Linked DNA regions of Mus musculus: all the other regions are reported to be linked to region 1. Evidence: microRNA targets listed by miRTarBase, many of them from high-throughput screens and not tested one by one. Region 1 holds a microRNA gene; each other region holds the end of a gene's coding sequence.

What was found. The annotated mature microRNA mmu-miR-124-3p reads UAAGGCACGCGGUGAAUGCC and lies in region 1 at 2,749-2,768, opposite strand. An mRNA with a match to its seed (bases 2 to 7 or 8) in the 3' UTR can be bound and repressed. Matches are read on the target gene's strand: a 7mer-m8 pairs with bases 2 to 8, a 7mer-A1 pairs with bases 2 to 7 and ends in A, and an 8mer does both.
Region 2: the mRNA of Flnb is a reported target of mmu-miR-124-3p. Seed matches in the 3' UTR shown: 7mer-m8 at 572-578.
Region 3: the mRNA of Ppp1ca is a reported target of mmu-miR-124-3p. The part of its 3' UTR that is shown has no 7-base or 8-base seed match.

Annotation. Positions count from the first base shown.
Region 1 is chr3:17,792,293-17,798,490 of GRCm38, reverse strand. It overlaps Mir124a-2 (microRNA 124a-2), which reads right to left and starts at 2,829; the gene lies at 2,721-2,829. Mir124-2hg (Mir124-2 host gene (non-protein coding)) reads right to left here. Exons shown (of 3, transcript NR_033490.1): 2 at 3,478-3,898. Gm51272 (predicted gene, 51272) reads left to right here and starts at 2,750; the gene lies at 2,750-2,806.
Region 2 is chr14:7,950,054-7,953,053 of GRCm38, forward strand. It overlaps Flnb (filamin, beta), which reads left to right. Exons shown (of 46, transcript NM_134080.1): 46 at 252-1,535. The coding sequence ends at 439. Among named protein-coding and RNA genes, the nearest start is that of Gm45521, 5.7 kb to the right of the region's middle.
Region 3 is chr19:4,194,593-4,197,592 of GRCm38, forward strand. Ppp1ca (protein phosphatase 1 catalytic subunit alpha) reads left to right here. Exons shown (of 7, transcript NM_031868.2): 5 at 1-98; 6 at 180-314; 7 at 390-827. The coding sequence ends at 500. It overlaps Rad9a (RAD9 checkpoint clamp component A), which reads right to left. Exons shown (of 11, transcript NM_011237.2): 7 at 2,885-2,994; 8 at 2,747-2,811; 9 at 2,521-2,658; 10 at 1,589-1,790; 11 at 606-1,490. The coding sequence ends at 1,395. Among named protein-coding and RNA genes, the nearest start is that of Ppp1ca, 3.9 kb to the left of the region's middle.

The DNA of each region.
Region 1 (6,198 bases):
AACCGGTCAAGCTGTTCCTAAATTATCCCGAGAAGCTCTAATTTCAGACCACTAGATGAAAGTTGTGATTGCTAAAGGACTCGCATGGTCCTCTGCACCAAAGCTCTCTAATTGTCCACCTGGGTTGTTTTGCTGGAAAACTGCTGAGCACAGAATTTCATAGCAGGAAAATTTTGTAATGGACATTAAGTTGGGTGATTACTTATAAAAAATGAAAATAATTAATTTTAAAAGTACACAAACACCATGAATCAATAACCACACTGGATTTAATCATAGCAACCAGATGACTAAGTCCTGTACTTGCTCCCTTACTTTTTAAATTCTTTCATATTACATGTTTCATTTTTATTTAGAAAATATATTTTTTAACTGATTAAGATTTCTGAAGCGAGAGTATAGGACTGCTGTAAACAAGTAGGATTAGGTCGGGGAGTATTATTGTGTTTTTATTATGTAATATGAATTACACTGATGTAGCAGGACTGTTAGACCCTTTTTGCTTTGTGAGGAGCTCAGGGGATTGTGAGGAGAGACCACCAGAATAACTAGGTCGTTGCTGGAAGGAGGAGCATCCATGACAACCTTCAGCACTTCAAACCCATTCCCATTTCTGGTGAGTTTTTTTTTTTTTTTTTTTTTTTTTTTTTTTCAGCGACACAAGAGGGGGTTTCTTTGTGTTTGAGGTAGCTCTTGTCCCAACAAAGTGTGATATCGCCATCTCACCCCCCCCCCCAGATTGTGTAAAATCAAATGCAAACCTAAAATTTGTGGATATAAAGATCCTAATTTACAGAGTTTTAAAATCAGAAAACAAAACTAAAAGCCACCTTTTTAGGATGGAGTGAATAGGAACTAGACCCCCAAGAATATCATTTCTGAGCTCATTTTTTCCTGAATCATTGGCTACATTTCAACCATTCAGGTGGAAGAGAAGAAATAGTATAAAAACATATTTTTTAGGCCATTGTTCATTTATGGACCATTTCTATGCCCAGGTAAAAATCACTGTCACTGTGTCTCTTTACAGCTTTGTTTAGTTTATCTATGACTGATGTTTGACAGTATTTATGATGTGAATCTACAAAGAAATTCAAGCATGGAACATTTTCTTTCCTGGACCCACGGCTGAATACAAACCAATCTATTGTCTATTACTTTTTCCATTGCACATATGACTCAATATAGAAATTAATATTTTACTATTTATATACAATACTCTCAATATTTAAATTAGAATGCTGATAATTTTAAATATATGTTGAATGCATTAATTCAGACACATTTGACCCAGGACTCCTAAGACAAATCTTCATTATATGGGATTTGGTAAGCTACTCTGCCTCCCTAGTGAGCTGTGCTCTGCAGTATGGTTTTCTCTGCACTGTGGGATTCAGGCCTCCTAGGACTGCAGTACCTCCTGTGAGGAGCGAGGCTCACTGCCAGCTCCTGGGCACCATCACCCTGCCACTCTGTGGGCCTTGGCCTCAGAACTCAGTAAGGAAAGCTGTCCCACAGAAAGCCTTGCTGAGAGCCACGAGAGTGGTTGCAGGCTTCTCTACTCCTGCCTGCTCTGGTCACTAAATCAACCTCAGTCAGAACCTTTTAAATATATTTTGAGGCACACTCTAGGGTCCTTTGAGAGGTATCTTTGGTGACCATATCTGAGATAAGATCCTCAACTGAAAACCGTGTGTTTCTCTTTTCAAGATTGTGATTTAAGAGGAAAAAAAATCTATTTAATCTCTCTCTAGCACATTTTGTTAACTACTCGGGTTTCTGGCCAAATCAGCTGATTGTCAGAGTGGATGGTTTCAGCAAAATACTGTTTAGCCTGTCTTTCCGTATTTCAAGGTTTTTATTTGTAAGTTAACTAATATCCTGGGGTATGGGGCTGGGTTAGAGAAGAAGCGATTCTATAATTCTATTGCCTTGTTTGCAGAATTACCACAAGAGGAGGGGGAGGAGGTAATGGAGGAGGAAAAGAAAGAGGAAGAGGAAGATGATCCTGTCAGCAAGGCGAGGGTGCGGCCACTTTGGGTTATCCTTCTCCAGCCTCTCCTTTGTTCCCAGGCCAGATAGGCCACCACAGAACAAAGACTTCCACCAAGGCTCTTTCTCAGCGGTGGTTTTCTTAGGCTTTCGGGTTATGGAACCTACCTTAACTAAGTACCTCATGGTCTTCCAAATACATTAATTTACCAAGTCTTAGAGTTCCTGGCTTGGCCTTTCCCTCTTATTGGACAATATTGACTGATTTGGGTATTGTCACTTTGCCTTGGCCTTTTAAATCCAGTCAAGGCTACCATGAGACTGGGTAAAGAATGGGAGAATAGTGAAAAGCTTGGGGCGGGGGTCCTATTTTCACTGATAATTGAGTCATTTGAGGTTTCTTATGCAGTGTGGTCTGGGGTTTCTCATCCGTTTTGTTTTCCCAGTTCGACCCAGAATTTTATTTGGAAAAGGCCAGCACTCTCTGAGTGCCATCTCTTAGACCGTTTGCACCAATGGGAACTACAGCTCTCCTGACAGCTGTCAATGAAACCTCTAATATTCCCCTTGGGAGTATGCATGCGGATTTCCCAGATTCTCGCTGAAAAACATTTGACTGTCTTGTATTCTAAAGATTTTGAATCAATGCGAGGGGTCCTTGTGTCGCACAGGATGGGTTCATTCTAGAATTGTTTCTCCCCACCCTTCCTAACTTCTCTCGGATGTCCTTCAAGTGCAGCCGTAGGCTCCGCTCTTGGCATTCACCGCGTGCCTTAATTGTATGACATTAAATCAAGGTCCGCTGTGAACACGGAGAGCAGAGTCTCTGATCTTGATCTAGAAGCAAGTGACTCATTGCAACTATTACTATAATTTTCTCCCTGCCCTTCACCCTCTCTTGGAGCTCTAGGCTTGGAGTCCCTACTCCTAGAGTTGTAGCTCTGAGCAGTACTCCCACCTCAGCTTTCCTCCCGCCACATCTGTCAGAGTTGCCATTAATTAGTCTGCAAGGTTGAAGAGTAGCGGGTGCATGAGTCTGCGATTCTTATGCATACATCTGCATGCCATTTACAGCGCACCTAAAACCCATACATATGTCTATAAATCTAGTTTTCAAATGATGACATGGATCGAAGTTAATTACCCCTCTGGTACAGATCTAATTTCGTAATCGTGTTATTTTACTGAAGGCAATTAACTGAGTTGGTTCGCCCTGAATGCCGTCCTAAGACATTTGTAAGGAAAGGCAAGTCTTTAAGGACCACACCATGAGTGTTCTGCTGCAGAAACCTTTGTCACTCATCCCCTGTTGCCAGAGATCTAGCAGAAAAAGCGAATATAATCATGCATGTTTGTATGTCCGACAAACACACGTATACGCCTTTGATAGCCCGATTTTGGTTGGGAAATTTTGGGAAAAGATCAGAATCCCAGGCCGGCTGGGTCCTCCTTCTTTGTATTGCGGAAAAATTAACTCAACAGCACCTGCCGAGTCCCGGGAGAGCTGGGGCCCATCTGGTCTGGCTATGATTTTACTGCGAAGAGAAAAGGCTGCTTGCTCGGGCTTCCTCCGGCTCTGGAGAGCAGAGATCGGGTCTGAGCCCGCTCTGGGCGTAGATTTAAGGGCAGCGCAGCAGATGCGCTCTCTCTGACTGCGGCGGGAGTCAGGAGGAGATCCGAGTCTGGGCTCGGCGGAGGGAGGGCAAGATGGAAAGAAGAAGAATGAGGGGAGTTGACCTCTACGGGCGGAGCCCTCTGGACGGCAGGCCGGAGGCGGCAAGCAGCGGCTCTTTTCACAGCATCCCTTGCGGCTGGGTGGGCCAGGGGGATGGACGGACTGCGCTCGCCTGAAGAAAGCCAAAGGGCTCAAAAGCAGGTTTTGTGCGGAGACCCCAGAGCGCTCCCCCTGAAAAACAGAATCAAAGCGCAGAATTAGAGCAGGAGGGAGGAGGGGGAGACTGGAGAGGAGGGACAGGAGGAGGGAGGAATCACTCTAGGGAGCCAAGGTGACCGGCCGTCCGGACCTATAGAATCGAGCTCGGGGAGCCCCTGCAATGTGCGGGGCGACAGGGGAGTTCCCAACTCAATCCCGGCTTCGGAAGGTGAGAAGATGCAGTCAGGACGAGAGAAATGTTTTCCTGAGATGGAGTCTTGAAAGCGAGTCCTCAGATTGTCCTCTGTGCAGTCTCAGCGATTTGCGCATCCCGCGCGCCCTTACCCATCTAACCCCTCCCTCAGACCACACGCCAGAACCGCATTCTCCAATCTCCACCCCTTCTTGGTTTAGAATCCTGCAAACTGCAAGACTGAAGAGTTCTCGCATGAAAATCGAAATGATCGATGAAATAAAGAATTTCATATAGGCATAGCCCTAGAAATCCAAAGGCGAAAGAGCTGCTAGCTCTGCTCAAACCTGCAGAGGACCAAAGCGTTTTCAGGGGCTGCTCCGCGTGTTCTCGGAGGAAAGAGGAGGCTGAGTGGTTTCCGCGATATAAGGTGCTTTAGGATGGGCGGTGGGGGCAGGGAGGGGGTGGATCGTAGCGGTCCGGTCTTTCCCCCTCGCTTGCTGATCCAGAATTAGGGATTAATGGCTCGCTCCAGCCAAACAAATAAGGCATCTGCCTTCAGCACAAGAGGATTACACGGGCTGCTGACGTCACCAGTCAGACAGATGTTGGCTCCCAAAGTCCTGAACAGCTCGCTGTGTCCTTGAAACCAAAGAGCTGCAGAAGGCGCGCAGCCCCCAAGAGCTGCGCCTGGGCAAAGCAAAGGGCACCCTCCTTGCCCTTGCTTACACTCTCCTGCACGCACCACACTGGCCCCAATACAACTACCTAAGACAGAGCTCCTCAGTCTCTCTTGCCTTCTGCACAGCCCCCAGTCAAGGTCCAGGCTGGCTCAACACAAGTCAAAGTCACCACACTTGGCTTCTGTCTCCTAAAATAGAGACAGTACTACTTTCTCAATCCTCATCTAAAATCTGGCACGCACAGCCAACACCTCACCATGGACAGAGCTAAGCTCCAGATGAGCGACCACCTCTTCATTTTATGGTTAAGGCATATCTGCATCTTTCGTCCCCACCATTGTCCTTTCCCCAGGCCAAGGTCTAAATTTTTTATGCTTATTCTTATGAATGAAGACAGGCTGGAGCACCTTCCTAAACAATGACTCCCAAACTGTCTCTGCTTTCTACCAGAGCCCTGGGCCACCATTACAAGAACCACAAGAGCCCATTATGAAATGATCAGAATACCACCAAATTCCATTTAATATCCTTCTCAAATGCTTTTTAAATATTTAAATTTTTAAAATGCGGGTGTCAAAAACATATCTATCATCTATGCTAAGAAACAAGGACATTCAAAGAATTGCAGTTTCATTCTCTGGACAAGCACGATGGCTAAAGATCCGGAATTCATTGCCTTACAAATCTCAACGTCACTTGAATTTTATTTCAAATTTAAATGTAAATTGTTTTTTTTTAATTTTTCTAACCTGTGTGTTGTTAATGATTTATACGATCTTCCAGGCCTTTACAGGTCACAAAGAAGACTGGTTACAAAATAAGTCAGAAGTCACAGGGTTGAAAGTGAAAATTTAAGGGAGCAGTTATATAATCCACAAGAGAAATAATTGTGATGAATTTCACTTCTGAAAAGGTTAAGGTAATGAAACTCATGCAAAAAGCAATATAGTTATTTGACACAGAGCCACAGTGAACCAAACCTGTGCCCTAACCTGGATCAATATGTATGTGAAAGTCTGTTGTTTTCCTGGGGGTTAGGGTGAGTGTCCGTCTAACCAGTCACTGCACAGTTAGTTATGCACTATAGTGTCTGTCCAGAAATAAATGGGGGTATGGGAGTCATATCTCTATTCATATTATCCCTGTCTATCAAAGTGGCATTTAATTTTTCCAATTCTATGCATTTAGAAACCTAGTCACTGATAAAAATCTATTTAATTTGCTCTAGTGTCATTCAGCTAATCCCAGACAAAATATAAAATTTCTCTTTCTTTATTCAGCTGTATGTCCTATAACAAACATCCCATACCAAAATGAATGTATTTAAAACTGTAATTTACTAGTGACATAAGGTAGAAATGACCTTTAGTTTGATTTTTAAAAAGTCACATCCATGAGAAAGGACAGATGTTGAAGATATGAATTATCATTTCCTTAAAACGTGGTAGAATGCATAC
Region 2 (3,000 bases), not on the chromosome of region 1:
TTGTGGCCTTCCTGGTTTGCAGTTTAGGTAGAGAGCTTTTCCTGTCTGAGGTCACCAAAGCAAAGGGTGTGAGGGCTGGCATGTGAGCCCAAATCAGGTTGTCTCTACTGATCATGGCCACGATTTGCCACCAGTGAAAGGACTCTGGTGCCATCATCCCAGCTCGGCCAGTTATCCCTCATCTCTCTACCTTTGTCACATCTCTGCTTGTCCTGATTGGTCAGGTCAGTAACAACCTCCTCTTCCCGCAGGGTCCAACATGCTGTTGATTGGGGTCCATGGGCCCACCACCCCCTGTGAAGAGGTCTCCATGAAGCATGTGGGCAAGCAACAGTACAACGTCACCTACGTCGTCAAGGAGAGGGGCGATTACGTTCTGGCTGTGAAGTGGGGGGAAGAGCACATCCCCGGTAGCCCCTTTCATGTCACCGTGCCTTAAAGCATCTGATAGCCAATGCTGGACGTGTCCCTTCCGGTTGCTTTTGTTGCTAGTTTGTAATTCATTTTTTACAATGTCCACAGCCTGCTGGTGGGCCAGCGTCCCCATCCCAAACCTTGCCGCTCACTCCAAGTGCCTTGGTGCCCTAGACTTGACTCGAGGTCATGTGGGACATCTTCAGAAAGCAAGCTGGGGCCAAAAAAGTGCAGAGCCCTCTGCCCAAATCAAGACTCTTAATTTCAAAGGTCATTGCAGACGGAACAAGAACATGGACAGGACTGACTGGCTCTCCTAAGCTTCTGGTCTACTCAAGCGATAACCAAACAAGAATGTCATTGCAGAAGGGGGTCCTGCACCCCACTTGCCAAAGAACAGTGCAACCCACTTTCCTCAAGACTAGACAACAAATAAGAAAGTCTGACCCAGATTATACTCCATGCCTGGGCTTCGTCTTGGGGCCCTGATCACTTTGACTTCATCCTAAAGCCAGCTCTGGAGCAGAAGGCATGCAGAACACTCCATACCCCATTTTTGGAATTCTGTACCTGCCTACTTCTTTATTAACAGCCTTGAAGGCATGTGCTCATGGCCAAATGCAGGGCCTCTGCCAGCTGCCCCCAGAGTTCATTGCGGCTGCTAAATGGCAGAGACCACTGATAAATTATTTCAGGACCTCCTCCTTGCAAAAGCTGGAAGGGATGGGTACCCCTCTTATGACCCATGAGAGGCCTTAATGACCAAGACACTAGCACGTGCACCCACCTGAGGTCTCTAAAGGTTTTGGTGTAAGCATTGTCAGGCTGTCAAATGGCTGGAGCGAGTGTTACACACACACACACACACACACACACACACACACACACACACACACACAATGGGGTGTGGTGGTTCTCATGAATGTGGCAGGGGTGGAGTAGGTGTCCCGCACCAAGGCACAGCAGCTGGAGAGGTGTGGGTGCTAAAAGCCACCTGTTAGGACCTGGAGCAGCTGAAGCCGGATGTGAAAGGCGGAATAGACACGGAGACCGAACTGGAATCAAATGCCGACTATAAAGTGTATCTTATAACTTATTAAATAAAATGTTTGCTCCATAAACGCTCCCTGTCATTCTTGGAGTGGAATCAGTGGTGTGGGCCTCTGATCACTCCCCACCCACCATCTCTTTGAGTGCAGATGTTATTTAACAATGGGCCAGTCCTTTTCTTGCAAAGGGTGGTCCTTTTCTGAGAAGCCAGGGCCAACCTCAGGCAAGGGACTCAAGAGAACATGCGGGCCATGATACCATCGTGACTTCTTAGGAACCCTAGATATGGAGCCCAGGTAGAGGCAATGGCTTTTAATTAAGCAGGCCTCTTGCCTGATACCATCAGGAATCTGTGTTCTGGGAAATGTTCTCAGATAGGATCTCTCACATGCCCCTGCACCCTTCGACCCAGTACTGAGTGCCTCCACCTGCCCTCCCGAGGAGAAACGATTGCTGATGTTAACCCTCCAGCTATGAATCCTTATAGTGGTCGGGTGACGGTTTACATATGACAGAACAAACATGGGTACAGTTTCCACCAGGCATACAGCCCAGACCTCATATGGGGATAGAGTTGGGCATATACCTTCTGACTAAGAATGAGTGTTCTTACACATCACACTACAGGCAAGCAGCTCGGAGGAGAAGGGTTACCAGAGTCCTAGAAAAGCTGGCAGTACCCATGGAGGCGGAAAGGCCTCCAGGCCGGGAGGAGTGTGGGGATCAGAGGTTCAGGCAGGGAACCTGCATCATTTTTAGTGATGGTATGTATATGTATGTGACAGGGTCTCTTGTATCCCGGGCTAGCCTGGGACTCTCCCTGTAGCCAACTAGGACCTTGAGCTTTTTTTAAAGTGTATACTGTGCTGAGATCAAGCCCTGGACTCTGTACATTGTAGGCAAGCAGTCTCCAACTGCATCCCCTGCTCTGCTTTCTCTATTGTATTCTGGCTTTGTTTTTCCCCTTACCTGGCTACATATTAGAATGATAATCTGTTTACCTCTGAGCTTGGAGGAAGGTAAGGCAGATGCGCCCTTTCGTCTCTGCGCCTTGAAACCCTCGCCTAGACTCCTGGGCTCTGTAGGGCTGGGGACTCCCTGAAGAGTCCTCACATAACATGTCTGGCGCGATGCTGGCTTTGCCAGAGAAGCCCAGGGGATTCATCAACCCCTCCAACCCAGTTAGGTTTGCTGGAGGAGGCAGCGTTTGTACACTAAACATTGACTTTGGTGTAAGGTGTCCTAACGTCTAAACACTGAGTCCTAACCGGCCGAGTCGAGTCTGGCTGGCGGGGGAGGGGGAGATTCCCACGAATTCCCACTGGTATTTTTAGGAACAGTCCTTTGCTTGTTACTTTCTACGGACACCCTCTGTCAGAGTGTGTGTGAGCTGGCTGGTGATTGGCACCCAGTAGGTGATAATAGTTTTACCTTTGAGGTGCAGCCCCGCAATTGCTGCCTGTGACATCAGGGCCTGTGGGGTGGAGACCTGTTGCTCTCAGTGCCTAGAACCAGAGGGCAGCTCTTATCTGCACC
Region 3 (3,000 bases), not on the chromosome of region 1:
GCGAGAATGACCGTGGTGTCTCCTTTACCTTTGGGGCTGAGGTGGTAGCCAAGTTCCTGCACAAGCATGATTTGGACCTCATCTGCAGAGCACATCAGGTGGGCTGGTGGCCTGGGGCGGGCTGGGGGTGGGGGTGGGGTGCCTAACTTACAGACTAAACCGTTCCTGCCCTGGCCCAGGTTGTAGAAGATGGCTATGAGTTCTTTGCCAAGAGACAGTTGGTGACACTCTTCTCAGCTCCCAACTACTGTGGAGAGTTTGACAATGCTGGTGCCATGATGAGTGTGGATGAGACCCTCATGTGTTCCTTCCAGGTGGGTGTGGGGAAGAGGCTGCCCAATAGACGCCTGGCTCAACCCCAGGACCCTGATGAGTGTTTTCTCTTCCAGATCCTCAAGCCCGCTGATAAGAATAAGGGCAAGTATGGGCAGTTCAGCGGCCTGAACCCCGGAGGCCGGCCCATCACTCCACCCCGCAATTCTGCCAAAGCCAAGAAATAGCCTCCATGTGCTGCCCTTCTGCCCCAGATCGTTTGTACAGAAATCATGCTGCCATGGGTCACACTGGCCTCTCAGGCCCACCCGTCACGGGGAACACACAGCGTTAAGTGTCTTTCCTTTATTTTTTAAAGAATCAATAGCAGCATCTAATCTCCCAGGGCTCCCTCCCACCAGCACCTGTGGTGGCTGCAAGTGGAATCCTGGGGCCAAGGCTGCAGCTCAGGGCAATGGCAGACCAGATTGTGGGTCTCCAGCCTTGCATGGCTGGCAGCCAGATCCTGGGGCAACCCATCTGGTCTCTTGAATAAAGGTCAAAGCTGGATTCTCACCATAGCCTCTGTCTCTCTTGTCCCGTCCCAGACAGTGGGCCAGCAGTTCTTTGGTACAAAGCCACCTGGGAGGGCAGACTGAGTGGCTGAACATGGGCCCAGCCAGGGCAACACCAGTGACACACAATCAGGTCCAGAGGCTATTAGGATTCTAGGCCAAGGCCCAAGTGTTAGGAAAGAGAAACAGTTCCTTTGGCCCACAGGAGGGTCTGGCGGGGAGTTCATGATTGGCAGAGGGTGTTCAATACTGATCTTCCTGTTTTAGAGGCAGGAGACTGAGGAAGCTAAGTTTCTGGCTTTGGCCAGAATTTGTATTCTAGAGCCTCAAAGTAAAGGATGAGGGATCTGTCAGGTGACAGGTGGGCACCAGAGACATGATTGGTATAGGCTGAATAAATACAGAACACAGACCAAACATGGTTCCTAGGCAGCTCTGCAGCAGACAGCCAAGTGGGGTATGCCTTTTTCCATTTCCATGTCCATGTCTAAGGACTGACGCCCAACTCAGTGGGCGGGCCTGCTTCTGGTCCGTGAGCCTTTGAACACAGACTTTAATTTCTCAAATTCACCCTTCACCATCACTGTCTTCAGCCAGCACAGGGTTGGGACCCTGCGGGGAGTGTACAGGGGCCAGGATGGAGCCAAAGAACAGTGAACGAAACTGGAAAGAGAATAGAGAGAGCCCAGTTAGTCTTGGAAGCTGCTTCCTTCCTTCCTTCCCTCCCTCCCTCAGTTCCTATCCCAACATCCAGCTTTTACCTTCTTGGGTGGGGGAGTCCCAGGCACTGTACTGGGCTCAGCTTCCTCCTCTGAGGTGGGGGCAAGGTCATGGGAGGCCAGGGAGACAGGTGGGAGGGATGTGGAAGGCTGTGCCCCGGAGCCCTCATTGCCTCCAGTGGTTTCCATGGCAATCATGTAACAGTCAATGTCATCACTGGTAAAGTCATCTAAGTGGGGTGTGCTGTAGGCAGAGATAATATCAACATGGTACAGAGAAAAAAGGGATACAGAGGCAAACCCCACTTTGGAGGGCTCTGAGGAGGGCTTGAGGTCTCCAGACTGCTGGTGAGCTAGCTTTTGATTTTATTACTTCCTGATTTGGCTGGGAGGATAGGATGCAGGGGTTAAGTGGGAGCTTCCTGGAGGGGGTGGAACTGGAACCCTTTTGATCAGAGTTCAGGTAGGGGCCTGAGGGAGGATCCTGGGGCCAATTTAGCTCAGCTGGGGGAGGAAAGCAACAAGTCCTGTGAACAGGGCCACGTGGGGCCCAACCCCTCACCTTCCCAAGGGACAGGAGCTGGAGAGCACAAGAGCCCAGGGATGTGCTGGGCCGAGAGCCAGACCAAACTTCCTCTGTTTCTACTACACGAGCCCAGCCTCCCAACCCACCTGCCCTCGCAGCCACCTGCTTCTCCTGCACCAGGCAGCTCCCTGCCTCCCAGCAGCCCTTTCTCTCCGAGTCTGGAAAGAGGCTCAGAGGGGAGGCCTCAGCCAGAGAAGGAAGCCAGCAGGACCTAGGGGATGCCTCTATGGATGGGAGGGGTCTCAGTACAGCTGACCATTAAGGCTGGAAGCCCTGTTGAGGCTGGGCCTGACAGGAAGCATGTATGGGGGAGGTGCAGAAGCTACAAGTAGCAAGCTCAACCTGAGTGTGTAGAAATAGAGGGAATGCGAGGAAGTGAGACACTTACCTGTGTGCCTGCTTCTGAGGCACTGGCTGGTGGGGTTTTGGGGAACACGGGCCCTGGGAACATGAGTCTTGCTCTAAGAGTGTGGCCAAGACAAAGTGGGCATCCAGCAAGGAATCCTCAATAGTAAAGATGACTGGCCTGGGTGACAGAAAGGGGTTAAGCTAGGTTATCCTGCTCTGGGCATCCCAGAGCCCTGCCTCTCCCCAGTCTAAAAGCCTGGAATTACCTGCCTGGAACATCGAAGTGGATAGTAAGAGGCAAATTCGCTGACTCTGCAAAGCTCAGGAGCCCCTGGGATGGAAGAAGCAGGTAGTGAGAGCCTGTGTTTGGTTCAAAGACCAGGTGCTAGCCATAGTAAACTCACCCGAAATTCCTTGAGGCAGAAGGTGACAGCTATCCCTTCTGGGGCATGCAGCTGCTGGAAGTCCTCATCCCCAATGCTGGTCTCAGTCACCATGGCTTTGCTGGTGCTGTCTATGT